7 linked regions of the Macaca mulatta genome follow. The protein of the gene in region 3 purifies or fractionates together with the protein of the main gene of each other region. This does not show direct contact. Links are inferred from orthologs where the notes say so. Each region holds a gene or a part of one and is shown on either strand. Other genes may lie near its edges.

The links.
Region 1: the proteins of SF3A1 (region 3) and DHX15 purify together in Homo sapiens (co-immunoprecipitation; 5 studies listed by BioGRID and IntAct, with this or other methods). This does not show direct contact. The link is inferred for Macaca mulatta from reciprocal best matches to the Homo sapiens genes SF3A1 and DHX15.
Region 2: the proteins of SF3A1 (region 3) and DDX39B purify together in Homo sapiens (affinity purification with mass spectrometry; 3 studies listed by BioGRID and IntAct, with this or other methods). This does not show direct contact. The link is inferred for Macaca mulatta from reciprocal best matches to the Homo sapiens genes SF3A1 and DDX39B.
Region 4: the proteins of SF3A1 (region 3) and U2SURP purify together in Homo sapiens (affinity purification with mass spectrometry; 4 studies listed by BioGRID and IntAct, with this or other methods). This does not show direct contact. The link is inferred for Macaca mulatta from reciprocal best matches to the Homo sapiens genes SF3A1 and U2SURP.
Region 5: the proteins of SF3A1 (region 3) and SART1 fractionate together in Homo sapiens (co-fractionation; 3 studies listed by BioGRID and IntAct, with this or other methods). This does not show direct contact. The link is inferred for Macaca mulatta from reciprocal best matches to the Homo sapiens genes SF3A1 and SART1.
Region 6: the proteins of SF3A1 (region 3) and DNAJC8 purify together in Homo sapiens (affinity purification with mass spectrometry; 4 studies listed by BioGRID and IntAct, with this or other methods). This does not show direct contact. The link is inferred for Macaca mulatta from reciprocal best matches to the Homo sapiens genes SF3A1 and DNAJC8.
Region 7: the proteins of SF3A1 (region 3) and HNRNPU purify together in Homo sapiens (affinity purification with mass spectrometry; 3 studies listed by BioGRID and IntAct, with this or other methods). This does not show direct contact. The link is inferred for Macaca mulatta from reciprocal best matches to the Homo sapiens genes SF3A1 and HNRNPU.

What each region holds. Positions count from the first base shown.
Region 1 is NC_133410.1:23,602,818-23,606,824, reverse strand, and holds the start of DHX15 (ATP-dependent RNA helicase DHX15), read left to right. Parts: upstream 1-1,207; 5' UTR 1,208-1,327; coding exon 1,328-1,398; intron 1,399-4,007.
Region 2 is NC_133409.1:150,789,234-150,793,365, reverse strand, and holds the start of DDX39B (spliceosome RNA helicase DDX39B), read right to left. Parts: upstream 2,801-4,132; coding exon 2,590-2,800; intron 1,561-2,589; coding exon 1,433-1,560; intron 1,167-1,432; coding exon 1,074-1,166; intron 1-1,073. UniProt on the Homo sapiens protein: Involved in nuclear export of spliced and unspliced mRNA. Component of the TREX complex which is thought to couple mRNA transcription, processing and nuclear export, and specifically associates with spliced mRNA and not with unspliced pre-mRNA.
Region 3 is NC_133415.1:21,195,996-21,199,495, reverse strand, and holds part of SF3A1 (splicing factor 3A subunit 1), read right to left. Parts: intron 643-3,500; coding exon 435-642; intron 1-434. UniProt on the Homo sapiens protein: Component of the 17S U2 SnRNP complex of the spliceosome, a large ribonucleoprotein complex that removes introns from transcribed pre-mRNAs.
Region 4 is NC_133407.1:46,009,389-46,012,888, reverse strand, and holds part of U2SURP (U2 snRNP-associated SURP motif-containing protein), read right to left. Parts: intron 3,041-3,500; coding exon 2,878-3,040; intron 2,561-2,877; coding exon 2,481-2,560; intron 929-2,480; coding exon 841-928; intron 1-840.
Region 5 is NC_133419.1:8,455,685-8,459,809, forward strand, and holds the start of SART1 (U4/U6.U5 tri-snRNP-associated protein 1), read right to left. Parts: upstream 2,801-4,125; 5' UTR 2,754-2,800; coding exon 2,441-2,753; intron 715-2,440; coding exon 657-714; intron 248-656; coding exon 192-247; intron 1-191. UniProt on the Homo sapiens protein: Plays a role in mRNA splicing as a component of the U4/U6-U5 tri-snRNP, one of the building blocks of the spliceosome. May also bind to DNA.
Region 6 is NC_133406.1:212,713,617-212,717,116, reverse strand, and holds part of DNAJC8 (dnaJ homolog subfamily C member 8), read right to left. Parts: intron 2,094-3,500; coding exon 1,992-2,093; intron 1-1,991. UniProt on the Homo sapiens protein: Suppresses polyglutamine (polyQ) aggregation of ATXN3 in neuronal cells.
Region 7 is NC_133406.1:4,250,634-4,254,133, reverse strand, and holds part of HNRNPU (heterogeneous nuclear ribonucleoprotein U), read right to left. Parts: intron 2,404-3,500; coding exon 2,264-2,403; intron 1,329-2,263; coding exon 1,229-1,328; intron 794-1,228; coding exon 681-793; intron 231-680; coding exon 1-230. UniProt on the Homo sapiens protein: DNA- and RNA-binding protein involved in several cellular processes such as nuclear chromatin organization, telomere-length regulation, transcription, mRNA alternative splicing and stability, Xist-mediated transcriptional silencing and mitotic cell progression.

The sequences.
Region 1 (4,007 bases), on a different chromosome or scaffold from region 3:
CTGCTGCAGATAGTCCACAGATCTTTTCTTGTGCATTTCTTCTGGGAACGAATGCAACTGAGGAAGCAGAGATATTCTAGGGGGAGAGATCTACAAAATTCCTTAGAGTCATCTTGCCCCACCTCCTTGTTACGGCTTTAGGTACAGCCCTTATGGCCGTGAGATTTAACCTTCCGCAGCCTTTGTGTCCACGTCTACAAAATAACAACTACCTTGCAGGGTGTTATTTAACACTGTGAAAGTGCATTAATAGGCACAGAAAGAAAAACAAAAAAACAAACATAAAAGCAAATTGTGCCCTCACTGCGAATTCTCTGTATTCTAGCTAAAAACATCTATAGCTTGAGTGCATGGGTGTCTGTGCTGGGCAAGAAAAGGGCAAACTAGATCATGACAAGCCTTAAGATTTTCTCACTTTAGTTTCCTCACTGCAATTTTTTTTTTTTCCCCAAGTCGGAGTCTTGTTCTGTCGCCTAGGCTGGAGTGCACTGGCGTGATCTCATCGCAATCTCTGCCTCCCAGGTTCAAGCGATTCTCCTGCCTCAGCCTACCGAGTAGCTCGGATTACAGGCGTGCGCCACCACGCCCGGCTCATTTTTGTATTTTTAGTAGAGACGGGGTTTCACTATGTTGGCCAGGCTGGTCTCGAACTCCTGACCTCGTGATCCGCCTGCCTCGATCTCCCAAAGTGTTGGGATTACAGGCGTGAACCACCGCGCGCGGTCCCTCACTGCAACTGAGAGTAGCGGGGTGGCCTCAAGTTCCAGATCTGGAGTTACTAAATAGCTGGGTTCCAATCCCGGCTCTGCCACTTATTAGTTGTACGATCTTCGTTTCTCAACCTCTCTGGGTCTGAGATTCCCTTAAAGCCGGGGTAATAGAGATGAATAGGATTTCCTAACTAGGACTAGACTTCCTCAATTTCTCGACTCAGAGGGGCAAGGATAGACTGAAATGGAAAGTGAAGGCCTTCAGGCTTTTCCTAACAGCCGCTCCTAGGAGGGGAAAGCTACGGGAAGAGGGAGGAGACCCAAGAAAGGTCGGACCAATGAGGCAGCGGGCGGGACAGGAGTTCCCGCCTTTGGGCGGCGTGCGCGCGCACCTCGCTCACACGCACACTCGCACGCACGCACGCTGCGGAAGCGCGCGCGCGCGCAGGCCCAGCCCTCGTCGCCGCCGCCATTTTAGCTCCTGGTTCCGGCCGCACCGTGTGGGCTGTAGTAGCGGGAGGGGTGGGGGTCCTCCAGAGTTAAGTGGCTGTCCTCCACTGTGCCCATACAGCGGCTAGCTTTCTTCCTTAATAACCGCCCGTTCGAAGAGTGCGAGGATGTCCAAGCGGCACCGGTTGGACCTAGGGGAGGATTACCCCTCTGGCAAGAAGCGTGCGGGGACCGATGGGTAAGCCAGGCCGGGGGCGCGAGGCAGCAGCTCGGGCTTTGTTGGGGTCCTGGCAGGGAGCGGGCTGGGACTGGCCTGGCCGAGCGGGTCCTGGAGCCCGAGCCTTTGTTTCCTTCTGGGCTGGGTTCACCAGCGGCGGGTCGGAGAAGCGCGGCGCCCGTCCGGCCCGGCAAGGGCGCGGGGAGTTGCGTGCGGCGGGGCCGGTGCCCAACCCAGTCCGGAGGGTGGAGAGGCCTGCAGTGGCCATGAGGGCGCCTCCTCCCCCAGGCCGAACCGAGCAGGAGTCACTTTCGAGGGCGTGGGGCGGGAGTGAACCGCGGACCTCGTGGCCTCGGTTCCCGAGGAAGGCCTGGATCCGGGGGAGAGAGTGGGGGAGGGCGCGGCGGGAGTATTCGCTTCCAAGGGCACCAGGCACTTCCCAGGCAGAGGGGCCATGGGGAGGGCCTGAGTGGGGGCGCGGCCAGGCACTCCAGACGGGAAAGGCGGAGGGCGGAAAGTGAGAGCAGCGCGTGGATCCTAATGTAGGCTGGGGTGGGGGTGGCGGGAGTTGAGAGAAGCCAGCAAATGGGGAGTTCTCTGGGGAAGTGGGAGTAGAGGACTTGCCGGGAGAAAGGAAGGGTGGAGTAAAATACCTGGTGGGCTGGAAGGCTGGTGTTTTGGGGCGACTGAGTTTATAGTTTGGCGGGAGAGAGCGTGTCTCGGTCCATTCAAGCACTTCAAAGTAGATACTAGCAAACTTCCGCCCTCTGCCTACGCTCCCGCCATCTCCTCTATTTCCTGCTTTGGTTAAAACTGGTTACCGAACATCATCCCATGGGGAGGGATTAGAAGGCATTCTTTTTTTTTTTTTTTCATCATTTATTTTCTGTGCATGTCCCACTTTTCTTCATAAGTAGCTTTTGAAATACAGGGATCATGTTCAAAACGTGTTTTTAGTATTTATGGCGAAACACCGCCCATGTGGAGGTTGAGAGTTGAAATACTTACACAAACTCATGGTGTTCCAGATTCCTTTCCTTAAAGATACAGAGGAATTTAACAGTTAACTTAAGCAGTTTTATGAAAATCTGTTTCTTTCCCGTGTGTGTTTTCATTGCTGAAGTACAAAGACCTATTTGGATAATTCAGGCAAAACCCACAAAAGCCCGAATATCCAAATACTTTGCATAATTTTATCATTTTATTGTGTACTTGTGATACGGAATCACTGTGTCAAGTCCCCTTGTCTAGCTTTTTTGAAATTTTCAGCTGAAGTTCTTCATTGAAATTGATTTCTAGGGATATGTTTAGTGTCATTGTAGAGTATAAGCCAGGATAGGATGTACTTTCTGAGACCTTCCCATATGTTGAATTATTCAATACAAAGCAAAAGCATGTCACAGTTTTGTGAGTTGTTTAGTTGGCGATATTAGGCATTGTAAAAAGACAATGACACTGTAAGACAGACTCTCTTTAGGCTATCACTGTCCCCCACCGTTACCCCCCACAAAACGGTAAATGCCTCTGAGCTGTATGTCACAGACTCTCAGAGCTGGGAGCAACTTAAAAAAGACTCTACAGCTCCACTCAAGGAATGAGAAATGGAGAACAGTTAAGGTGGCTTGGGCAAGTTTACAGCAGGATCTGGAACCCTGCCTTTATCATTTTCACTCAGCAGCACACAGTTCAGTACTGTAGTTAAGACTCATTACAGCCTATTTTAATGACATTTATAATGGGTTGGTAAAGTAGGGAACACTTAGTTCTTGATTTCTCTGAAGCAAAAATAAATTGCTGTCATCTGGAACTGATGTCTCTAACAGGAGGTCAGATTGGAACAAAATATTCTGGGAGGGAATGAATGAATTCATTTGTATTTGTGCATATGTGCACCATTTAAAATGCTTCCCTTGGGATTAGTGGTCCCACCATATGTATGTGCAATTGTTTACTATCTCTTGCAAAAACAGATACCCTTAGTAAACATGTCGACTTTCGGGGTCTAATGGTAGCTTTATGATTCCCTTGTATATTATTTAGAATTTGCCTGTGGATAAAGGCGAGTTCATCTTTGGAATAATGCTCAAGTTATAAGAAATTGTAGAGGGAAGTTTTAATACTAATTTCTATGTCATTTGAGTGCCATTTATCATAGAACTGGCTTTATTTAACAGTGGACTTACAGTGTTTATCAGCATCAGGATTTTTTTTCATACTCCATAATTTTAAGTCACTTGTTGACTGCCATGCAATCCTGCAGATTTTTTTTTTTTACCCTGATAGTCAGCAAGTGGTTTTATCTGAGAGCATAAGCTTGTCAGTCTTACAAACTCCACTGCCAGATAGGATGTCTCCAATACTGAGAAGAGAAGGTAATTCAGTGGGAGATTTCACTTACATTAATGTTCCCAACTATATAAGTCTTTATTTTATTCTTGACATATTTTAACTTTGAAATCAGGTGAAGTTATTATAGGTTTCTGTTGCGTATTCTGGCCTCATTTCTTCTTTTTGTCAACCCACAGAGCCTTCACTATACAGTTATTACCAAGAGACAACTTACTGTTGAAGTATGGAAAAAAGTTTTCCATGTTAGGGACGTTTTTCATTTTGATGTTGGTTTTTGATAT
Region 2 (4,132 bases), on a different chromosome or scaffold from region 3:
GGGGGAAAAGAATGACCATGGAATCAGACTGTCACGATGCTAATCCTATGGTAAACCTAAAGTCACTAATGAGGCCAGGCACAGTGGCTCACACCTGTAATCCCAGCACTTTGGGAGGCCGAGGTGGGTGGATCACTTGAGGTCAGGAGTTCGAGACCAGCCTGGCCAACATGGCGAAACCCTGTCACTACCAAAAAAAAAAAAAAAAAATTAGCCGGGTATGATGGCACACTGTAGTCCCAGCCACTCAGCAGGTTGAAGCAGGAGAATCGCTTGAACCTGGGAGGTGCAGGCTGCAGTGAGCTGAGATCGCACCACTACACTCACAGCCCAGGGGACGCAGCAAGACTCCATCTCAAAACAAATAAATAAAAATAAAAATAACTAACATAAGTCAACCCGATTTCTGGCATAACAGGAGATACAGCATCACCTATGAAGGATAATTGCCAAAAATGCTTAACTTCAATCAGATTTTTTTTTTTTGAGATGGGAGTCTCACTCTGTCACCCAGGCTGGAGTGTAGTGGCACAATCTCAGCTCACTATAACCTCTGCTTCCTGGGTTCAAGCGATTCTCCTGCCTCAGCCTCCCAAGTAGGTAGGACTACAGGTGTGTGCCACCACGCCCGGCTAATTTTTGCATTTTTAGTAGAGACAGGGTTTCATCGCATTGGCCACACTGGTCTCGAACTCCTGACCTCAAATGATCCACATGCCTTGGCCTCCCAAAGTGCTGAGATTACAGGTGTAAGCCGCTGCGCACTTGGCCAGAATCCTCAATATTCACACACCCCTGAAGCTGTTTTAAAGTTTCTGGCTTTCTCTGCCACACACCCCAAAATTACCAAACTGATAGGATTCAAAGTCAGTATAAAGTAGTAAAAAAAGGGTGGTCTCGGTTAAGCATCATCCATAGCCCAATTACGAATCCTCCCGTTACATAGGATCTTAACACTGTTAAACCATGGCAAACTAAAACTTCTCCAAAATTAAAGAGACTACTGGCCTACAAGTTTCTTATCCCTCCAACTTGCCACACCCTCACTCTGAGGTCTCTTTACCTCGGCTTACCTTGACATTGGGCATGTATTTAGAGAAGCGCTCATATTCCTTGCTGATCTGAAAAGCCAACTCCCGAGTGTGACACATCACCAGCACAGACACCTTAGGCAGGAAGTAGACCGAGACATACCATGAGTGTAGCCCTTCATCGTTCCCTCTAGGGAAGTGACTGACAAAAACACACCTGGGCCGATAATAAATGACTTCAATTCTGTGATCTAAATCACGAACCCCATGCTTGGATAGAACATTCCCCACAGCTGTCAGGTTGTCAAGGGTAACCGAGGTCATCATGTAGCTAGGACAAAAACACCCTTCCCTTATAGTCCTAACCAAAACCCCTTCCCCAGCACTCTCCCCAAATATACCTGCCCAGTAACTGGCTCCAGCTGTTGCAGTGTGGCCAACACAAACACTGCTGTCTTTCCCATGCCCGACTTGGCCTGGCACAGGACATCCATTCCCAGAATGGCCTGAGGGATGCACTCATGCTGGACTAAAAGTAGGGAGGAAAGATAAATTAGACTTCAGTCTCCAGATAACTCTACAACCTTTTTCATCATGCCAAGCCCATTTCTTACCACTCAATTCTCAAAATCTAGTATTTACCTGGTTCTTGCCAACTTCCAGACCCCTTTTTCCTCTCTCTGCTCAATTATATTCACCTCAAAATCAGACTCTCCTAATTCATCCCAGCTTTGGCCTCCTCCAGATCTAGGCCTTCCCAGTCCTACTAACAGCCCCCTTGCATCTACCAACCGCTCACCTTCAATGCTCCTGGCTCTGTCCTTATTTTTCTTAATCTGTAACAATTCATGACATCTGAATACCTGCTAAAGACATTTCTCCTACTTAGGTTGCCATACTTCGGGTCACATAACAACAACCCGGGACAAAATGAAGGACTTGGTACCTGACCCAGAAGCCAGTCATCTCTAAACCAGTCATAGAGGTTTCCAGAGGCCACAGTTGGCCTGGCCCAACAGAGGGAGACTACAGGTCCAATCAGGACCTTTCTGGAAATTTAAAATTACAAGTCAAATGACAAAATTAAAAATAAGCAGACAAAAGAAGTCAGTCACAAGAATGAATGGCAGACCTAGAAGCTACTTTTGGATAATTAGCACTTTGGTGCTATCATGAAAGAAAGAACAAGTCTGTATAATCCTCCTCTATCCAAAATCGTTTTCGATACTTATCTCCTGATTTTTTTTTTCCTCACTGTCTCCCCGGCTGGTGTACAGTAGTGCAATCACGGCTCACTGAAGCCTCAACCTTCACCTGCTTCGTTTAGTAGAGACAGGAGTCTCCCTATCTTGCCCAGGCTTCTCTTGCACTCGAGCTCAAGTGACCACCCCTCCTGCCTTGCCCTCCCAAAGCGCTGGGATTACAGGCGTGAGCCCCTGCACCTGACCCTGATCTAGCCTTAAGTATAAACTTTTACCACCTGAGCAACAACAAACACATCTTTTTATTGTACCCTTAAAGAGCCCAATGAGCACTACATGCCCAAGAGAAAATTTACCTTCTGACGGATGCTCAAAGCCACAGTCGACAATGGCCCGGAGCAACTCTGGCTTGAGCAGGAAGTCACGAAAGCCAGAGCTGTGGATGGAGACATAGGAGCCCTTGACATCCTTCTTGGCAGGGGCCTCAGCCCCATCTCCCCCAGCTGCTGTCTCCACCTCATCATCTTCATAGTCCAAGAGCTCATTGTCCACATCGTTCTCTGCCATAACTGGGCCGGCAGGGGAAGACGGGAAGGGGAATCTGGATGGGTTCTCGCAAAACAGGTGAAAACAAGGGGTGAAGAGTAGGGGATTGAGGAACAGCAAAGGAAAATAAAGATACTATTTCTAACAGAAGAGCTGGGGAGGGGGAAAAAAAAAAAAGCAAGACTTAGTCACGAGCAGAGCCTTCACCACCTCTTTTCCATTCCCAGTTCCCACTTTCCCTAAACTAGGAAACTTTTACATGGAAAAAAAAACAGATACACAACATAAAAACGAAAAGCAAATACAACAGAACAGAAAAAGCAGCACCAGCGAAAGTGGTTAGGACACAGGTTCCCAACAAGATTAGCAATCACAGTAGCGGAAACCAGAAAAGTTGGAAGGGGAAGACCAACTTATAAATTCTTAATCTGAAAATAAGTGAGGAAATATAATAGATAATAAAAGATAAAATATGATTAATAACTTAGTAAAGTGGAAAATGGAGATGACAAGCAGAGTCCTGGAAAGTCCTCAAAGGAAGACTGTGCTTTCCCTATTATAATCCCACCGTTATGGATGCCTAACTCAGCAGCCATCAGTCAAGGGTGATAGATGAGGGTCATCACTGCGCAAAGCGCTCATCTTTCGAAAAGAAAACATCATATGGCCGCCGTCCACCTCCCATAGCTCTCAGCCTCCCACTTCTCAGTATCCTCTCTTCCGTTGTTTAAGAAAGCCTTGTGTAATTAGCATGGGGGGGAGGGGCGGTGCAAGACAAATGGCTCGGCCACCAAAAACAAAAAAAATCCATGTCTCCACCCTACAATAACAAAGTTAATAGTTGACAGAGAAAGGCAATCCCCGCCCAGGCTTTAACAGGATCTTTACCAAGTGGTCTGACATCACTGTTGCGCTACGAAGGTGAGACTCCTTTTGGAGAAACATACAATGACACCAATAGTAAACACTTGTAAGGCACTCCAAATTAACTTGGGCGAGTCAAGGTGAGAAAAATCCAACTGGGCCCAAAAACCGGCTCCTCCTCCCAGTCCCACCGTGGGCCAAGAAAGGGCTCAAGAAAGGACAAGTAAGGTGATAAGAGCCCCGCCCTCCGCAAATACCAAGACCAAGGGACGCCTAGCGCCGCCTCTCATTGATGCTGAGGCCTCCAATATGAAAAGAACCTACTGGAAGAAGGGAGCAAAACGAACACAATGGCGCCGAGGACACCATCTTGGATTGGGCCCCCCCTTAGCTTCCCTTCCTTCCCCCAAGAGCTCTTTGCTCTCGAAAGGGATGCAAGCTACGGAAATGGGGAACCAACTAGGCCCCAGAGACCAGACGATCGCCTGT
Region 3 (3,500 bases):
GTGGTATTAGGGGAGGCCAGATAGAAGGGTCCTGGGAAGAAGAGAGAGAAGGGAAGGGAGAGCATAAGGAGGAGCCCACAGGCCACACTGCATCCTTCAGCACAGCCAAGTAGGAAGTCCTTCACCCAACATGGCACTGCCCTCACACCCTCACACTTCCCCCGACTCTCAGATTCCTCATACAGCCTCTGTGATGGGTCAATGAGACAAGACTCCTGAAGTTATAAGCAGAGTCTGACAAGCAGTGCTTGGGAAATGCCAACTAACATCAGTACTTTGCTGTCTGGGTCTCAGTCTGCCTCTGAGAGATGGGGATAACAACCTTACTTCTCTCCCTGGGTGGTTGTGAGGTTTAGAGTTATTTGTGTACCCCCTCCCTATCCCTGCTTCCCTCTCAAGCCCTGCGTAAGTGAAGGGGGCACTGGGCTCCAAACCTTCTGGGGCAGCTGCTGCTGGGTGGCCTGCTGCTGCTGCTGCATGACCTTGGGGATGGCAGCTGACGGCTCCTGAGCCTTCCCCTCCTTGAACTCGCTGACCTTGTGGCGGTAATAGGCATGGTAAGGGTCATTGGGGTTCAGAAAGTTGAACTTGGGGTTGTTGATCTCATTCTGTCGGATCCTAGCTTCAAATTCAGGCCCATTTCTAGAGGGAGAAAAAACAGCAAGAATAAACACCACATCCCTTGTGCCTGCTGAGATCTAGGACACTGCCCATTGGAACGTCCTTTTTGCCACCACCCACTGCTCAAACCAGTCCAGCCCTCAGCACAGCAGATGTCCTCCTCCAGCCTCCTGGCATTGGCAATCAGTGCCATGTGCCTCATTCAGCTCGAACCAGGCCACTTCTACCACGGGGTCTCCCTGAACCCAGTCATTCCTTACCTCCTTTTCCAGTTCTGCCATTTCCAAAACCACCTAGGCTATCGCTCATTTATTTTAGGTGAATATGATGAAAACAAAGTAACACTGTCAAAGTTTAGCTGGAAGTTTGCTGAGACTAGTTCTCTTAGTTCAAAGGGGTAGCAAGTGCTGGAGAGGTGTAAAAGGTACGTGAACACCAAACCTAGACTTTGTCCTCTGAGTAACGAGAAAGACTGAAAGACATGAAAATTTAGTTGATTTGAGCCTGGGCAACAAGAAAAGACCCTAACTCTACAAACAATTTTAAAAATAAATTAGCTGGGCATGGTGGCTTGTGCCTCTAGTCCCAGCTACTCAGGAGGCTGAGGTGGGAGGATCACTTGTGCCCAGGAGTCTGACGCTGCAGTGAGCTAGAACCGTGTCAATGTACTCCAGCCTGGAAAACAGAGTGAGACCCTGTCTTTTGTTTTTGTCTTAAGAAACAAAAACAAAAACAAAACAAATTAGTTGGTTTAATGCCTTGTCCAAGTACTGCCTAAAACCACCCCAATTATACTGGTGAGGCCCACACAGGAAACATGCTCAGCAAGGACCCAGCCTCGTACAGCTGTATAAGGCACCTTCAGATGACAGGGGTGTGGTAAGATCAGCAGGGAGGTCTCCAACCACTGTCTGTACTTGGGATGGTTCCCCAGATATGCCCCATGTCCCCAGCAAGCCTTCAAAACCTCAGGATAATGAAAAAATGTCCCTGTAATGATATTTAGGGAACCCTGATTTTTAAAATGTCCCAACAGTAATACTTCAACACCTGTGTCAGTAAGAAAATACACGGACCTCAAAGACACAAGATATGAACACATTCAAGTTGCAGGTTCACTACTGACTCACTCTGACCCAGAGCAAGTTACCAAACTACTCTTTGATTCCATTTCCCCATGTGTAAAAAGCAGCTAACACCAGTTTCCCTTTCTACCTTAAAACATTATTGAGGAGATGCCAAAGTCTTCTTTTTGTTTCAGAGACAGGGTCTCACTCTGTCACCCAGGCTGGAGTGCAGTAGTACAATCTCAGCTCACTGCAACCTCCACCTCCTGGGCTCAAGGGATCCTCCCACCTCACCCTCCTGAGCAGCTGGAACTACAGGCATGCACCACCATGCCCGGCTAATCTGTTTTATATTTTGTAGAGATGGCGTTTCGCCATGTTGCTCGGGCTGGTCTCGAACTCCTGCGCTCAAGTGATACACCCGCCTTGGCCTCCCAAAGTGATAGGATTATAGGCGTGAGCCACTGAACCCAGCCCTTAAAGTCTTTTCAAATCATACAGTAGCCTGCAAATGCAAGGGGCTAGGAGGGGTTGTTCCATAAACATCGTCTGTGGGGCCTTCCATTGCTCCTCTGGTGAGAACCTTGTACTTAGAACTGCCCCAAACACACCAAGGCATGGCCCCAGCATCTATCTAGTGCCAGCCAGCCGGCTCCACTCTCTTCTGACTTTCACATCCCTGGCCTGTGAGTTTAAGAGGGGGTGGGAGCCTGGCACAGTGGCACACACTTGTAGTCCCAGCTACTCAGAAGGCTGAGGCGAGAGGATCACTTGAGTCCAGAAGATCATATCCAAGCCTGGACAACAAAATGAAATTTCATCTCTTAAAAAAAAAATTTTTTTTTTAATTTTAAGAGAGACGCAGTACTGTACCCCAGATCAAGCAGTACAGCAATATGTGCCACACTAGTGATCAACACCCAGCCTGGCTCCTCAGCAAGTCCTGGTCATACCCTGCCGTGTGACTAACATCATGAGGTCTCAATTTGACAGTACATTAGTCTAACTGGAACCTCATGCTTTGGAAAAAAAATTCTCCCTACTCCTTAAATAATGCAAACCACACATAAGAATGAAGGTGAATGCCCACTTAAACCCTGCTCAACTAGGCCACTATACCCGGCAAATGCCTCGGGCAGACAAAGGGCTCCTGGAAAAGGGGGACCTGGTTGTCTCCTGTACCACTAGCTAGGCCATAACTTTACCCCATCTGGGAACAATCTGAAAGATAAAACAATGAGAAGGCTTGGCATGTTCATTCCAAACTATTCTGTTGCTTTAAATTAGCTTAACGTTAATTTTAGAATCATACTCTCCACCAGAAGGAATAGATTTCAACAGAAAAAAACATGATTCTGACTCAACCCAGCTGCTGGGACTTTTTAAGGGTAATTTCCACTTCAGTTTCTTGCAGGAACATGCAGGAAACGAAAGGCCTAACCTAGTGAAAAAACTTTTGGAAAACTGCTCAGTTGTACATTTCTACTGCATGCTCCATAAATACACATGAACCTAGGAGAAGTGAACACAGAGTTCTGCATGTCTGCTTTAACTCGGATATTGGTCTCTTTGTTGCAATGTAAACCATAAGTTCACAGATTTTGTTTATTTACTTTTGAGGCGGAGTCTCATTCTGTCACCCAGGCTGGAGTGTAGTGGCACCATCTTGGCTCACTGTAACCTCTGCCTCCCGAGTTGAGGTAATTCTCCTGCCTCAGTCTTCCAAGTAGCTGAGACTACAGGCGCCCGCCACCACACCCAGCTAGTTTTTTGTATTTTTAGTAGAGACAAGGTTTCACTATGTTGGCCAGG
Region 4 (3,500 bases), on a different chromosome or scaffold from region 3:
ATGTCACCTTCTAATTAAAAGAAAAAAAACCCTAAAAATAAATATAATGAAAAATAAACAGTAGTTGTTTGCTCTTTACCACCTAAGGTCAGCTCCCATACCATTAGTACTACACATGAGCCACATTCAGGAAAGACTTACATAGAAACTTATGAAAACTTAAAACCAAAGTAGCCAAGTTTTGACCTGAATCCCCTTATGGTCCAGTAAAGTACTTCCTAATTCTGGTTAACACTTTACTCTGTATCTTCCCTAAACTTTTTTTAAAATTCTAACTTATGGTCAAAATTTAAGGTCAAAAACTTTAAAAATGGGAGTTGTCTGAATGCCCTAAATGGTGGGGTCACTGGGCATCTTCCCAAACTAAAAATTTTTCGTAAAAAAGTCATCTTCCCATGAAAGCATATTTACTTAGTCAATTATAAATAAAGTACTCCACCTGGCTTTTCTTAACACTGGCCTACATCTTAAGAGGTTATAAAAAAATTGGTAACAGAGCAGACTTTCTAAATATGATTAAAATGTATGTCTTTAATCCAGCCAAATAGTATATACCATTACAAAACAAGTGATTCTTCTGGCTGTTTCATGAAAAAAGACTAACATTTATAATATTTAAACAATACTTAAAACTAAAATTAAACACCTGTCAAAACAGTATCTTTTAAATTTTTGATTTTGATTAAAAAAATGACAGAATTTTAAAACACTAACTTCGGTAACATCTAAGTTTTAATTTTATGTGTCATACTTGTCTTATGTACTTTTCTAGCCCTTCAAGGCCCTCTCCCCCCACCCATTTAAAACACTAGGGCAAAAATAGTAAAACAATAAACGTACCTTAAAGTTTTCAGATTGTAAATGGCCTTGAATTGTACGATAGGTGGCATTGAGGTCTGAAAATATCTGACATAACTTTGTTTCAAAACTGAAATTCAAATAATACATTCTTTAAAATAAAATGTTTAAAATTCCTTTCCCCTTCAGCATGCCAGCCAATGAAAACCCCTCCTGAACTTAAAATACCTACAAATTAATCAAGAAATTATTAAAAATCAAAAACTAGGTGTTTAAACTCTAAAACCGTAACTGAATTGCTTTAACTCTTATTACTCTGAATTTTTCTCCTACAAACTCCCCAACAGTCCCTACTATCTCCCTTTATAAGCAAGAAACATTACATCTAGGATATGTTGAACCATCTCATCCAATTTCTTTATTTTATAAAACAGAAAACTTAGAAAAGGGTGACGCATCCAAGGCAAAAAAACTAATAGCAGACATAAGAGTAGGACTCAGATCTCTAAATTTCTTTTCAGAGCAACTTCCTAGGGAAAAGCTTCCCTTTGCCTAATTCAAAAAATAAACACAGAAAGAGAGCTCTGGGGAACTGAGAAAAAGTTACACTTTTTTTTTTTTGAGACGGAGTTTGGCTCTTGTCACCCAGGCTACAGTGCAATGGCGCAATCTCAGCTCACTGCAACCTCCGCCTCCCGGGTTCAAGCAATTCTCCTGCCTCAGCTTCCTGAGTAGCTGGGATTACAGGGCTATACCACCACACCTGGCTAATCTTTGTATTTTTACTAGAGATGGGGTTTCACCACATTGGTCAGGGTGGTCTTGAACTTCTGACCTTAGGTAATCAGCCCTTCTCAGCCTCCCAAAGTGCTGAGATTACAGGCATGAGCCACTGTGCCCGGCTAAGTTATACATTAATTATAATACAGCAACATAACTTCCTTTTGCCTTAGGAAACATTAGCAATGAACTAAAATCAATATGCTAAGGATCAGAAGAGAATGCAGATTCTATAGTTAATAGTATGTCTTTGGTTTCTTATGTCTGCCAGTATATACACTGTTTCTATTTATTATATGAATAGCTAGATACGCAATAAAGTTCTCTTTAACACACACCTATTTGTTCTACTGTCAATAACTAAGAAAGTGATACGATATAAAATCTTTCCAAAAAAATTGGTAATTTAGCTTAAGTTTAAGCCAATTTTTTAAAAAAATTCTACAAACCATGAAGAAATTCAAATTAGTCTTCCCTCAGTATCCATAGGGGGACTGGTTCCAAGACCTTCCATGGACACCAAAATCCACAGATGCTCAAGTTCTTGATTGAAAATAACATAGTATTCACCTGTAACCTACCCACATCTTCCCATGGGTTAAATCATCTCTAGGTTACTTACAATACCTAATACAATGTAAACGCTATGCAGAGTTTTCATTACTGTATTGTTTAGAAAACGACAAGGAAAAACGTCTGTACGTGTTCGGTACAGATACAACTTTTCTTCTCAAATATTTTCAATTTGTGGTTGGTTGAATTCACGGATAAGGAACCCACAGACATGGAGGGCTGGCTGTATTTCTTATTCTTGGAGGACGTTAACAAAACAATCCTCTTTTCTGAACTCCTTACCCTTAAACACTTTATTTCAGGAATATCAGTTATATCATTATACTTACAATTTTCTATAATATGAAGCATTAGCAACTTTGGCTGAAGAGTTGTACAAAACATCAGAAACCAAATATAATCTGGCAATCTATAATACCAAAAGATAACACAAAATAGGTTAATGTAAGGCTAATGTTTAGCTATAATTTAATAATGGCTACTAATTAGAAGAGTTAAATAACTATCACCACAACCATGACTTTGGCAGGGATGAAATTTGTTAACTCATTTACATTTCAATTTGTTTGCAACTTGTATGTTAATGAACCTAAATTTCCAAGCAGAAGTAACATAAGACTGCATGGGAAAAATTTCATCAGTCAAGTTATTTGTGCAAAAAGGAAACCACTTCTAATCCCAAAAGACATTAACTATCTCCCCTTTTCTTAAAATTCATTCCCATACCTTTTTAGGAAGGGGTGTCTTTAAGATGGACAATGACTCAGTAATGCAATCCACTATTTCTTCAGCAGCTTCAGCATTATTAAGACAGAAAACCATTGCATCTCCAATATCATTTTTCCTTGGAGTTAATCCCCGCAAGATTTCTTCCAATTTATCCCTCTGTCTGAACATAAATTGTTTTAACTTATAAATATTTAGATACAATTTCAAATGCCATTGTAGTTTTTGCTCACAAACTAATTTCTTTAAAACCTACTCACATAAAATAATTCTGAAGACTGTAATATGTTAAGTCTGATTTGTGTTGTGTCCCCCAAAATTGTTATAATTTTTTGAAGAACTTATATAAGAAAGAATACTCCGTAGAACTAATAAAAGATACCAATGATGTTTTCAGCTTACAAATTAAGTAAATTTAAAATAATGGGCATTTCTTCAAGAGTCTTTAAAGAGCACCCCAGTCTTACCATCCCATGATACTAAAGAATTTTCATGTTCTTTACTCCCCTTCTTTGAAGGAAGTCTATTACTTTAGCATTTCTGCCTGGGATTAGGACAAGCTAATTTTTCTGTAAAGGAAAAGACTGGCTGGGTGCAGTGGCTCATGCCTGTAATCCCAGCAC
Region 5 (4,125 bases), on a different chromosome or scaffold from region 3:
GGCTCTAACTCAGAAAACAAGCAGAGCCCCAGGTCCACATTAGAACAGCAAGAAGGGACCTCGTGCCTTCCGGCAAATATGCATGTGTAAGACCACTAAACCGTGCTGAACCTGCCCTCTAATCCCACCTTCTTCAAAGACCCCTTCAGATGGCCCTCTCCCCCAAACCCCATCCTCAGCCCCATGCTCACCCTTCTTGATGGCATTGACCTCCAAGGGTTTCAGCCCCAACTTTGCCCGGAGTTTACTGAGAACAAGAGATACAAGTGTTAGGGGCTATCAAAGGATACAAGTGTTACGGGCTATCAAAGACACAGGGTGCCATGTGCATTTCCAAACAGACAGGAGAAGAAACAGGGTGGGAGTGAGCGGTCCCAAACACACGGTCTGCCCCAGGAAGCCTAGGACACTGGGAAGGGCCCTGGCCTCCAAAGCAGGAAACATGGGCGCCAGCCTGGTCTGCATCTAACCGGTGAATGCCACTTTACTCTTAGGTATTAGTTTCCTCTTCTATAACTCTACTGTTGGCTAAAATGATCTATACAACCTTTCCAACTCCAATTAGCACACTTTCATGTGAGAAAGCCTCCCCAGGGCTGGCCCCAGAGCCACCTATCTTAGAAAAACAAAGTGGAAACAAGGGAGACAGTACTCACTTGGTCTCCTCAATGCTGAGTGAGGAGGCATCGCCTGAGCTAGTTTTGGAGCTGGCAGCTGGAAGAAGAAGAAGCATGGCTCAGGAGCTGAACATAGGGCCAACAAGCCAGCATCAGTGCCTCCAACTGCAGGATCAAAGATGAGGGCCCCTCACCAGCACCTGGGCCTGATGAAACACCAGAAAACAGCAGCTTCTTCCACCCAAGCTCCCCAGCAGCTCCTCTGCCCGAGTCCAGTCTCAGAGCCCTGCCTCTTCTGCGCACCTTCCTATCCTGACCCAAGAGATCCAAACTGCTACAGTCACCATTCTGCCCTCTCCTTTTTTCTTTCATTTTTTTTTTTTAAGAGACAAGGTCTCTTAAAGAGATGGAGCAAGACTTTGTCTCAAAAAAAAAAAAAAAACACCTCTTCCTTTCCTGCATTCCCATCCTGTATCTTAAAGGCTCCACTCTCCACCTGGGCCCTGGATCCCAATCTCTCCAGGCTCCCCAAAGTCACCAGTCTCCTTCATTTCTAATCTAACGGGTTCTTTTCAGTTCTGGTTTTCCTTGATCTCCTGTGGTATATGGGACTGCTGATCACTCCCTCCTTCTAACAATACTCTATTTCCAAAGTTCCCATGACACAAAGGTTTTCCTGCCTCTTTGGTTACTCTATCTCCTTTTTTTGGTAACATCTTTCTCTGCCTACTACTAACATAAGGGCATTTCTCAGGTTCTATTCCTGACCCCGGCTTCTCATGTCGCATTCTTTCGCGGGCTTCACTGGCCACCCAGATACTGACTCCCAATGGCTTTATCCAGTCCAAACTCTGGATTTCCCTATGCACATAAACCTTGACAACCCCAAAAGTGAATTATCTTCCCCCACCCTGCTCCAAATCTCCTTCTCTTCCCTACTCCTCAATTTCAGTAGAAATGACACCCACTACCTATCTGGCTGCTCAAGCCAAAATTCAAGGAGTCATCCTCAATTCCTTCTCCTTCCCACCCTCATACAAGTACTGAGTTCTGTTCATTCCTCCTCTAAAACACCTCTCCAACCTGTCCACTTCTCTCCACTCCACTGCTGCTGCCTTGGTGCAGGCCACCATCAGCCCTCACCTGGTCTGTAGCCCTCCTGATTTCCTGGTCTCCAATCCTGACTACCTTTGACTAAGTTCTCAATCCAGTAATGTTTACAAAATACGGATCTGAGCAACTCACTCCTCAACTCACAGCCAAGGCTCCCTACTACCTTGTCAAGACAATCTACATTTCTTAACAGAGCCTACAGTACAGGATCCTTTGCGTTCACATCCCTGCCTATCTTACTCCTTCATTTCTCTACCAGGAGCCCTACACGATTCGTCCAATACGATTCGTCAAATACCAGGTTTTTCTTGTCTCTGCATATGCTGACACTACTTCATTCATTCATTCAACACATTTATTGAGAATCTGTGACTGTACCAGACAACTGAGAAAAACGGAAGCTCTCTATCCTCAAGGAGCCAGGTGGAGACAGTCTACCTCTAATCCCAAACAATCGTAGAAAAGCTTTTTTGAGACAGAGTCTCGCTTTGTTGCCCAGGCTGCAGTGCACTGGCGGGATCGCAGCACACTGCAGCCTCTAACTCCTGGGCTCATGGGATCCCGTAGAAAGACTATTTAATAAGAGTTGATATAGACAGTCTGGGGGTTTCCCGATCCGGAGAGCTTTGCTGACACTGTGCGCACACCCAGACCCGCACGTTCTGGGACCCCTGCCCGACCCGCCCCCTGCGCAGGCCCCGCCTCCTCACCGGCCTCATAGCCGTCATCGCGTTTCTCCCGCTTCACACGCCGCTCCGAGGGCTCTGCCTGGCTGCGCTCCCGCCCGTGCGTGCTGCTCCGGGCCTCAGCTTCGGCCCCGCGCCGCCCGCTCCCGCGCTCGCCCCCACGTTCCCGGCTCCGCTTCCGTCGTTCGCCACCGCTACCGCCACTGCCGCCACTCCGGTGCTTGTGTTTTTTGTGTTCCCGGTGCCGCGGCGGCTGCTCGGTGGCGCCCCCGGTGCCGGCCGCCGCCGTCGTCCCGGTCGCCTCCTTCTCTCCGCGGTGCTTCTTGGACGACCCCATAGTGGCACGTCCACTCCAAGCCCGGCTACCGCCGAGCCCAGACAACGCAAAATGGGAATACTTCCGGGTCGCTCGGCAGCCGCTGTCGTGTTGCCGGAAACTAAGAGCGGCTGCTTCCGTCGCTCGCCCTGGAGCCGGCCCCAGAGGCTCATGGGAAGACCGGGATCACTGCTCCACTGCACATTCGCGCCGTCGCGGGTCGGGTGGGTTCTTTGAGCCAGTGGTCCCGTTGTGCATTCGCTACTCAAGGGAAGCGGAATTAACCCGGAGATGGGATCCCAGAACTGGAAGGACTTAGAGGGCATTAAGCCAGTGTCTTCGTGGCTGGAAGTTCCTCCCCGGCATCCCTGCGCTTGCACTTCACCGACAACGGGGTGTTCACTACCTCACGGCCTTTCCGTAGACACCTCCCTCCTACAATGGGCGCTCGCTTAGTGGACTCCTAGGGTCGTGGCTTCAACGGGTGTTGTTTTCCCGTTATCTCAAATTCCATAGCCCAGTTTCCGACCCGCTATAACTAGTATCGTTAGGGAACGCTTCCTTCCCACGTTCCCTGGTTTTTTTGTTTTGTTTTTTTCCCTTGAGATAGGATCTCACTCTGTTGCTCAGGCTGGAGTGCAGTGGCGCGATCACGGCGCACTGCAGCCTCGACCTCCCGCGCTCAAGTGATCCTACCCCCTCAGCCTTCCCACTAGCTGGGACTACTACGAATGAACGCTACCACGCCCCTTTAATTTTTGTATTTTTTTGTAGATGGGCGGGGGGTGTCTCGAACTCCTGAAGCCAGGCTATCCACCCGCCTTGGCCTCCCGAAATGCTGAGATTACAGGCATGCGCCCCTGCGCCCAGCCCTGGATTGGATTTTTTAAACCCGCGCCCCGTGAACTGTTAAGACTGAAGGAGCGCCACATGAGCGTCAGTGTATCCTTGGAACCCCTGAAATTGAATGCAAAATGTGGCACATCTGTGTGTATGAGTTTTTTTCTTGAGGAGAGGAGCCCTAAAAAAAACTACTGGGACTTAAAACCCCAGTGCAGGCCGGGCGCGGTGGCTCACGCCTGTAATCCTAGCACTTTGGGAGGCCGAGGCAGGCGAATCACAAGGTCAAGAGATCGAGACCATCCTGGCCAATATGGTAAAACCCCGTCTCTACTAAAAATACAAAAATTAGCTGGGTGTGGTGGCGCGCGCCTGTAGTCCCAGGTACTCAGGAGGCTGAGGCAGGAGAATGGTGTGAACCCGGGAGGCGGAGCTTGCAGTGAGCCGAGATCACGCCACTGCACTCCAGCCTGGGCAGCAGAGCGAGACTCCGTCTCAAAAAAAAAAAAAAAAAAAAAAAAAAAGCCCAGTGCGCACAATCCCAATCGGTCCT
Region 6 (3,500 bases), on a different chromosome or scaffold from region 3:
TCAACTATTAGTATTAACTATATGTCATCTTCATATAGCCTTATAACTCATTTGTGCTATTCCATTTTCCTCTGTTCCTTTTATTTTCACTTCCCGTGTAATGTTAGTCTCTTTGTACTGATTTCTGAAGAGTTCATTTATGATTAAAGATGTTAATATTTTGTCAAGAATTGCAAAAAATAAAAAGAAAAATTAATTTTTCTTTTTTTTTTTGGCCAGGCAGCGGCTCACATCTATAATCCTAGCACTTTGGGAGGCCGCGACAGGTGAATCACCTGAGCTCAGGAGTTCGAGACCAACCTGGACAATATGGCGAAACCCCGTCTCTACTAAAAATATAAAAATTAGTCGGGCATGATGGCAGGCACCTGTCATCCCAGCTACTCGGGAGGCTGAGGCAGGAGAATCACTTGAATCTGGGAGGTGGAGTTGCAGTAAGCCAAGATCGTATCATTATACTCTAGCCTAGGTGACAGAGTGAGGCTTCATCTCAAAAAAAAAAGCATTTAAAACAGCCCTGAGGCTGCACATGGTGGCGAATGGCTGTAATCCCAGCACTTTGGGAGCCCAAGGTGGGCAAATCATGTGAGCCCAGGAGTTCAAGGGTGCAGTGAGCCATGATTGCACCACTGCACTCCAGCCTGGGTGACAATGAGACCCTGTCTCAAAAAAATACAACAAAACAAAATAAAACCGTATTGAGCTGAGCCAGGCGTGGTGCCATAAGCCTGTAGTCCCATCTACTCCAAAGGCTAAGCAGGTCAAGATCACTTAAGCCCACGAGTTCTAATCCAGCCTGGGCAACATAATGAGGCTCCATCTCTTTAAAAAAAAAAAAAAAAAAAAGGACTAAGTGTATGATGCTCCCTGTTTTTAAGCAAAACAGTTTGAGTGTAAACATGAGTGGCTATCTCTCTTAGGTGGGATTATACATGATTATTCTTGCTTTCTGTACATTTACAAGAAATATGATTTACTTTTATAACCAGGAAAAGTTTAAAGTTATAAAATTAAGAAAATCAAAAAGTATATTCACTTATCTAAAATCCTGTGATCTTTGTTTTGTTGTTGTTGGGTTTTTGGTATTTACTATAGTGAAACAGAAAAGTTTTAACAAGTAGTTTAAATCAAGAATCCTAGGCTAGGAGCGGTGTCTCATGCCTGTAATCCCAGCACTTTGGGAGGCTGAGGCAGGCGGATCACAAGGTCAGGAGTTCGAGACCAGCCTGGCCAACATGGTGAAACCCCATCTCTACTAAAAATACAAATATTAGCCAGGCGCAGTGGGAGGCACCTGTAATCCCACCTACTTGGGAGGCTGAGGCAGGAGAATTGCTTGAACCCGGGAGGAGGAGGTTGCAGTGAGTCAAGATCGCGCCACTGCACTCCAGCGTGGGGGACAGAGCACGACTCCGTCTCAAAAAAAAAGAGAAAAAAAAAGAATCCTAAATTTATCAGAGTTAGCCGCCCCTTCACATCTGAAATTAAATCCTTATATATTTGGGTTGCTAAAAGATGATGAAAGGTATGTGCCCATCTCACTTTTCTTAACATGCTGCCTCTCCAGTTCTGCTCAGTAAAACCAACCAAGTTTAAAGACAATCTATATACAGTTACGTACCTCTAAAGGCAAAATGCAAAATCCAAAATGCTCCAAAATCTGAAATTTTTTGAGAGTCAATTGATGCTCAAAGAAAATGCTCATTAACATCCTGAATTTTCTAATTCGGGATGCTTCAACCAGCAAGTGAGTAGAATGGATGTATATATTCCAAAATCCCAAAAAAAATCCAAAATCCAAAAAACTTCTGGTCCTAAGCATTTTGGATAAGGAATACTCAATTTGTACTATACAAATTCCATCACTTTACTCCACCATTTTTCACAATCCTAACGATGATATAAATTAGGTATGTATTCCGATGTAGGTATGCCTGCAGCTATGCAAACACCCTCCATTACAGAGGTCCTAGCAACACCAATCAGCTTACCTCAAATGGGTTCAAATTGAAGTAAGAGGAACCAGGACGGGTCAGTCTTTCAATCTGATTTTTCGATGTTAGAACCGAGTCTCTTTTCTCTATTTGTTTCACCTAAAATTATGAGGATTAAAAACTTCATTAATAGAATTCAATAACAAACTGAATTGTTTATCTTAACACAACGTTCACTGATATGTTCAACAAACATTTGTGTGTTTACCATGTGCAAGACATTTTGATAAACGCTTTGAGAAATTACAACTACCATTTGTTGAATTTTAATATAAAAACCTTACATGTATTTATTAATCTCAACAACCCTATGTGGTAGATACTGCTATTGTACCTATTTCACAGATAAGAATACTGAGGCTTAGAGAAGATAACTGACTTGTTCCCAATTATCCAACTTGTAAGCCAGAATTTTAACCCCAACAGTTTGACCCCACAGCATGCATCAAGAGGATTCAAAGATAAATAAGTCACAGCCTTTAAAGAACTTCCACTTTAATGACAGAAGATGTGCTTGTGTGTGGTTATACTTCATTTATAGCTTTTAATTTTAAGGAAAAAAAAAAAAAATAGGCTGGGCACAGTGGCACATGTCTGTAATCCCAGCACTTTGGGAGGCCAGGGTGGGCAGATCACGAGGTCAGGAGATGGAGTCCATCCTGGCCAACATGGTGAAACCCCATCTCTACTAAAACTACAAAATATTAGCCGGGCGTGGTGGCATGGCCTGTAGTCCCAGATACTCAGGAGGCTGAGGCAGGAGAATCGCTTGAACCCCAGGGATAGGGGTTACAAGGAGCCAAGATCACACCACTGGACTCCAGCAGCCTGGGCGACACCACGAGACTCCATCTCAAAAAAAAAAAAAAAAAAAAAGAGATTTCTCTGTGGGGGAAAAAAAAAGAAAAAAAATTTAAAGAGCAAAAAAAGGAAAAATACAATCACAGTAAGACATAAACTATGAGCAGCATTTAAAACTGTTGATGGGAAGGAACAAATAACTCCACCACCTAATTCTAATAGTGTTAGGAAAAATCCCTGACTTGGCCAGGTGCAGTAGCTGTCACCTGTAATCCCAGCATTGTGGGAGGCTGAGGTGGGTGGATTGCTTGAGCTCAGGAGTTTGAGACAAGCCTGGGCAACACGGCGAAACCCCGTCTCTATTTTTAATTTTAAAAAAAAGAAAGAAAGAAAAAAGAAAAATCCCTGACCTGAAGACAATGCCAGGGAGAACAAGCACCAGGCAGTCCCAGGAAAACATTCTTGGTGTCACTGTCAGAGTTGGAATGCTAGTTGGAATGAATCTCTGGTATGCTATATATCATCTTTATTCCTATGGCCAAAACAAGGTTGGAAAGAATTTCATTAACATAGAAAGTCATTCCTTCTAGACATCTTCCCTCTTCACTCTATGAAAACAGGATTTTTTTTCCTCTTTTGTTCACTACCATATCCCCAACACCTGAATAGCACACTAGTACACTTCAAATGTTCAATAAACATCTG
Region 7 (3,500 bases), on a different chromosome or scaffold from region 3:
CCTCTAACTCGATCCTCTAAGGGGACATTCTGGATAAAAGTATACTCTTCAGGTATTGGAAAATATGGCTTTTCCTTCTGACCAAAATTAAATTCAACTGCACAGTTGTGGCAGAGAACATGCGGGAAGAGTGGCCGTCCAGCAAGAACTTCCTTACTGATTTTGAAAGCAATGCCAAGATCTTGTCCATTCTTAGCATAGGAGAGTTCTACTTCATCACTTTCAAAGTTCTGTTAAACAGCAAAAAATTCAAGTTATCTGCTTCCTATAAACTTTCTAAAAAACTAATAATTAAAATTAGGAGCAAAGCTTATCCTGTGGGAGCTACAGGTTAAACAACTATTAAGTGGCCTCTAAGGGCTACACAGTTAAGAAATCTGATGGTTACAAACAATGAAGCACGTATCTCCAGAACCAGAAACAATAGTGACCTAGAAGTTAGACTAAATTTTCTAGGTCAATTTCATCTTCATTGTTTTCAGTCAAAATGAAATTAGTGAGTTCCTCAAAAATGTCCTGTATTTTCCCAATTCAACTGCTGAATGAGTATTTATACTAACCCAGGGACTGGTGTATTTATGTTGCTCCTATTGAAGATTGACCTTAATAAAGCTTCTTAAAAGTTCCTAGATATAGCTACTAATTTGCCATTTATACATAGAAAGTTAGCTTTAACTTACAGCAAAACATGTAATCACATCATTTTCATCAAACTTTTCTCCATAATCTTCAGTCTCACAGTTGCATGTTTTTATTCCTTTTAGAGAATACCCGTAAGAAAATTCTTCTTCACCTAAGAAAGTAATTAACCTTCGTGAAGTAGATTTTTAAAATAGTCCAAAGACTCATCTATTTCACTACTTAAAATGTAGGCTACAAGAGAAATGAGCATATAACCTAATCACCTGTCACTGACACTATTACTTTTCTACCTCTGTACTAGAATTGATGAAAGTTAGGAGGGATATATATATATGCAGAGACCAAATTAGTTGACAATTTGCATATCATGGGTAAGATTTTATTTCAACCATAAACTTCTAATAAAGGAACAAAAACTAAAATGTAGCCTGTGCCTACTATGTGCTAATATTACTTGTCTGAAGTATTAACAGAATAGATAAAAACAGACAAAAGGCTTAGAATGCCTTCTAGTCTGGTTAAAAAATAAGGATATCAGACCCTCCTAAACATTCATGAGCCCACATCAGTCAAAAAGAATCTTTACCAAGTAACATTCCACTTGTAGTTAGTGACCAGCCAATACGAACTTCATGTATGTCAATATCTTTTGTATATAAATGCCTTACTGGGATCTTCTCTGTAACCTGAAAGTCGAATCATTAAATAATTAAAATCATAAACCAAGGAGGTAACCCCTTAACTCTGGCTTATTTCATAGGGTCATGAGCTAATCTTCCTCGAGCTATAAATACAAAGAGATGGCACACTCTAGCCCATCCCTAATATTTGTAAGAACTTTAAACTGATGTGCTTATAACTTGAAATGTTAAATACTTATTTGACCCATATTTAAAAGAATAGTTAATATTTTTACAGTTCATGTTGTCAGTCTTCAACTTAAAGCCAATTAAAGGATACATTTAATGTTTTTCTCGCCAACAAAACCTGTAATCTAACCAAATTTTATTTTTCACTCTTTGGTGGCCCTTTCAAATGCTTGATAAAAATGAAGTACCCTAAATAAAAAGTTGCCTAGCTCTGCATGTCAAGTTCTAACATAACTTAACTGTCACAACAAAATGAAGGTTCCAAGTTCCTCTTTTAATTTACAGGAAGCTTCAAAAAATAAGTACCTCTGATAACTTAGCAGTATGAAGCACCTGTAATTTCAGTATTCTGGGAGGCCCAGGCAGGCAGATCACTTGAGCTTACGAGTTCAAGACCAGCCTGGGCAACATGGTGAGACCCTGTCACTATTTTAAAAAGAAAAAAAGAAAAGAAAAAAAAAGGCTGGGCGCGGTGGCTCAAGCCTGTAATCCCAGCACTTTGGGAGGCCGAGGTGGGTGGATCACCTGAGGTCAGGAGCCCCGTTCTCTATTAAAAATACAAAAATTAGCCAGGTGTGGTGGCACGTGCCTATAGTCCCAGCTACTTGTGAGGCTGAGGCAAGAAGAATCACTTGAACCCAGGACGAGGAGGTTGCAGTTGAGCCTGGGTCACACCACACCAATCCAGCCTAGGGGACAGAGTGAGACTCTGTCTCCAAAATCAAACAAAAACATCATAAAATTGCATTTACCTTCATCTCAAAACACACTTTGCCTTTTGACACACCATAAGATGCTCTTCCTCCAGCCCAAAGAAAAGCAAAACTTTCCATTGTAAGGGAAGAAGCACTGAGACGATCTCTTGATATTTTAAAATGTAGATCACAATTATCTGTAATTATATCAAATACTGTGTTACTTTTGACATCCAATGTAAACATATATGCTATGTAGAGAAAACTTGGTTATTTAATTTTTGCATGTACTTAACGCTGCACAACTTTTCTCCACATCATGCTGTTGTTCCAATTTTCAGTTTAAAGCCCCACTCCCACCAAGTCACTCCTTTTAAATTATGTACTGAAAAGTAAACTGCCTCTGAAACTAATACCAAGGTTTAACATGTATATTTTAAGTATTTAAAATAATCAAGACAATGTGACATTAATACATACCTGCTCTGCTCTTTACCTTGATTTAGAGGCAAGCAGTAGAGGATAGCAGGAAATCAAAGTGAAGCATGCCAGAACCAGGTAGATTTACCAGTGCCACATTAAAACTGAAGGGAGGCCACGACCAAATTATTTTGAAACAGGAGTATGAGCTGCTGTTGATCCTGCACCAGGGCTCTAGCTCCTAAATTCTTCTTCTAAAACTTGTGAAGAAGACAGCCTAAATCTATGAAGTACAAACCTGGCCGTCTAATGCTGTTAATAGTGCAGCATTTTAGGTCCTCTTTACCCAGGACTGCCTGTTCAACAATTAGGGATTAACTGCTTCCCGGATTATCCAAATCCAAAGTGTCTTTAACCTAGCTACCTATGGGTCACTGGCTCATTAACATGCACCTTCTCAGACTTCTCACTTCAACAGCTAAAGTCAAGCTGGAATTCAATTTTTTTTTTACTGATCAGAGAAAAATAAATCTACAGTTTGGAATTTTTCTTAAATTAGAATTACTGTAATCAGCAGAATTTAATTCAACAGATTGTTTGAATTCAACATTGTGTTTATATTGACATATGCCTATCTGATTTGCTAAAAAATCTAACAATTACATTACCTGCATGAGTCACCACTTCACTACCTTGCCAATTCCTAGCAACTTTTTATTTACACAACCCAGAATTTCACATAAAACTTTCAAATCAACTAACTCCTTTTTCACCTGCAGTTTTTTACTTTAAAAAGGCTCAGATGACTATCTCAACCTTCTGTAAAGGACATTCCAGTAAGAAAGAGTTTTACATTTACACTCTTACAAATCTG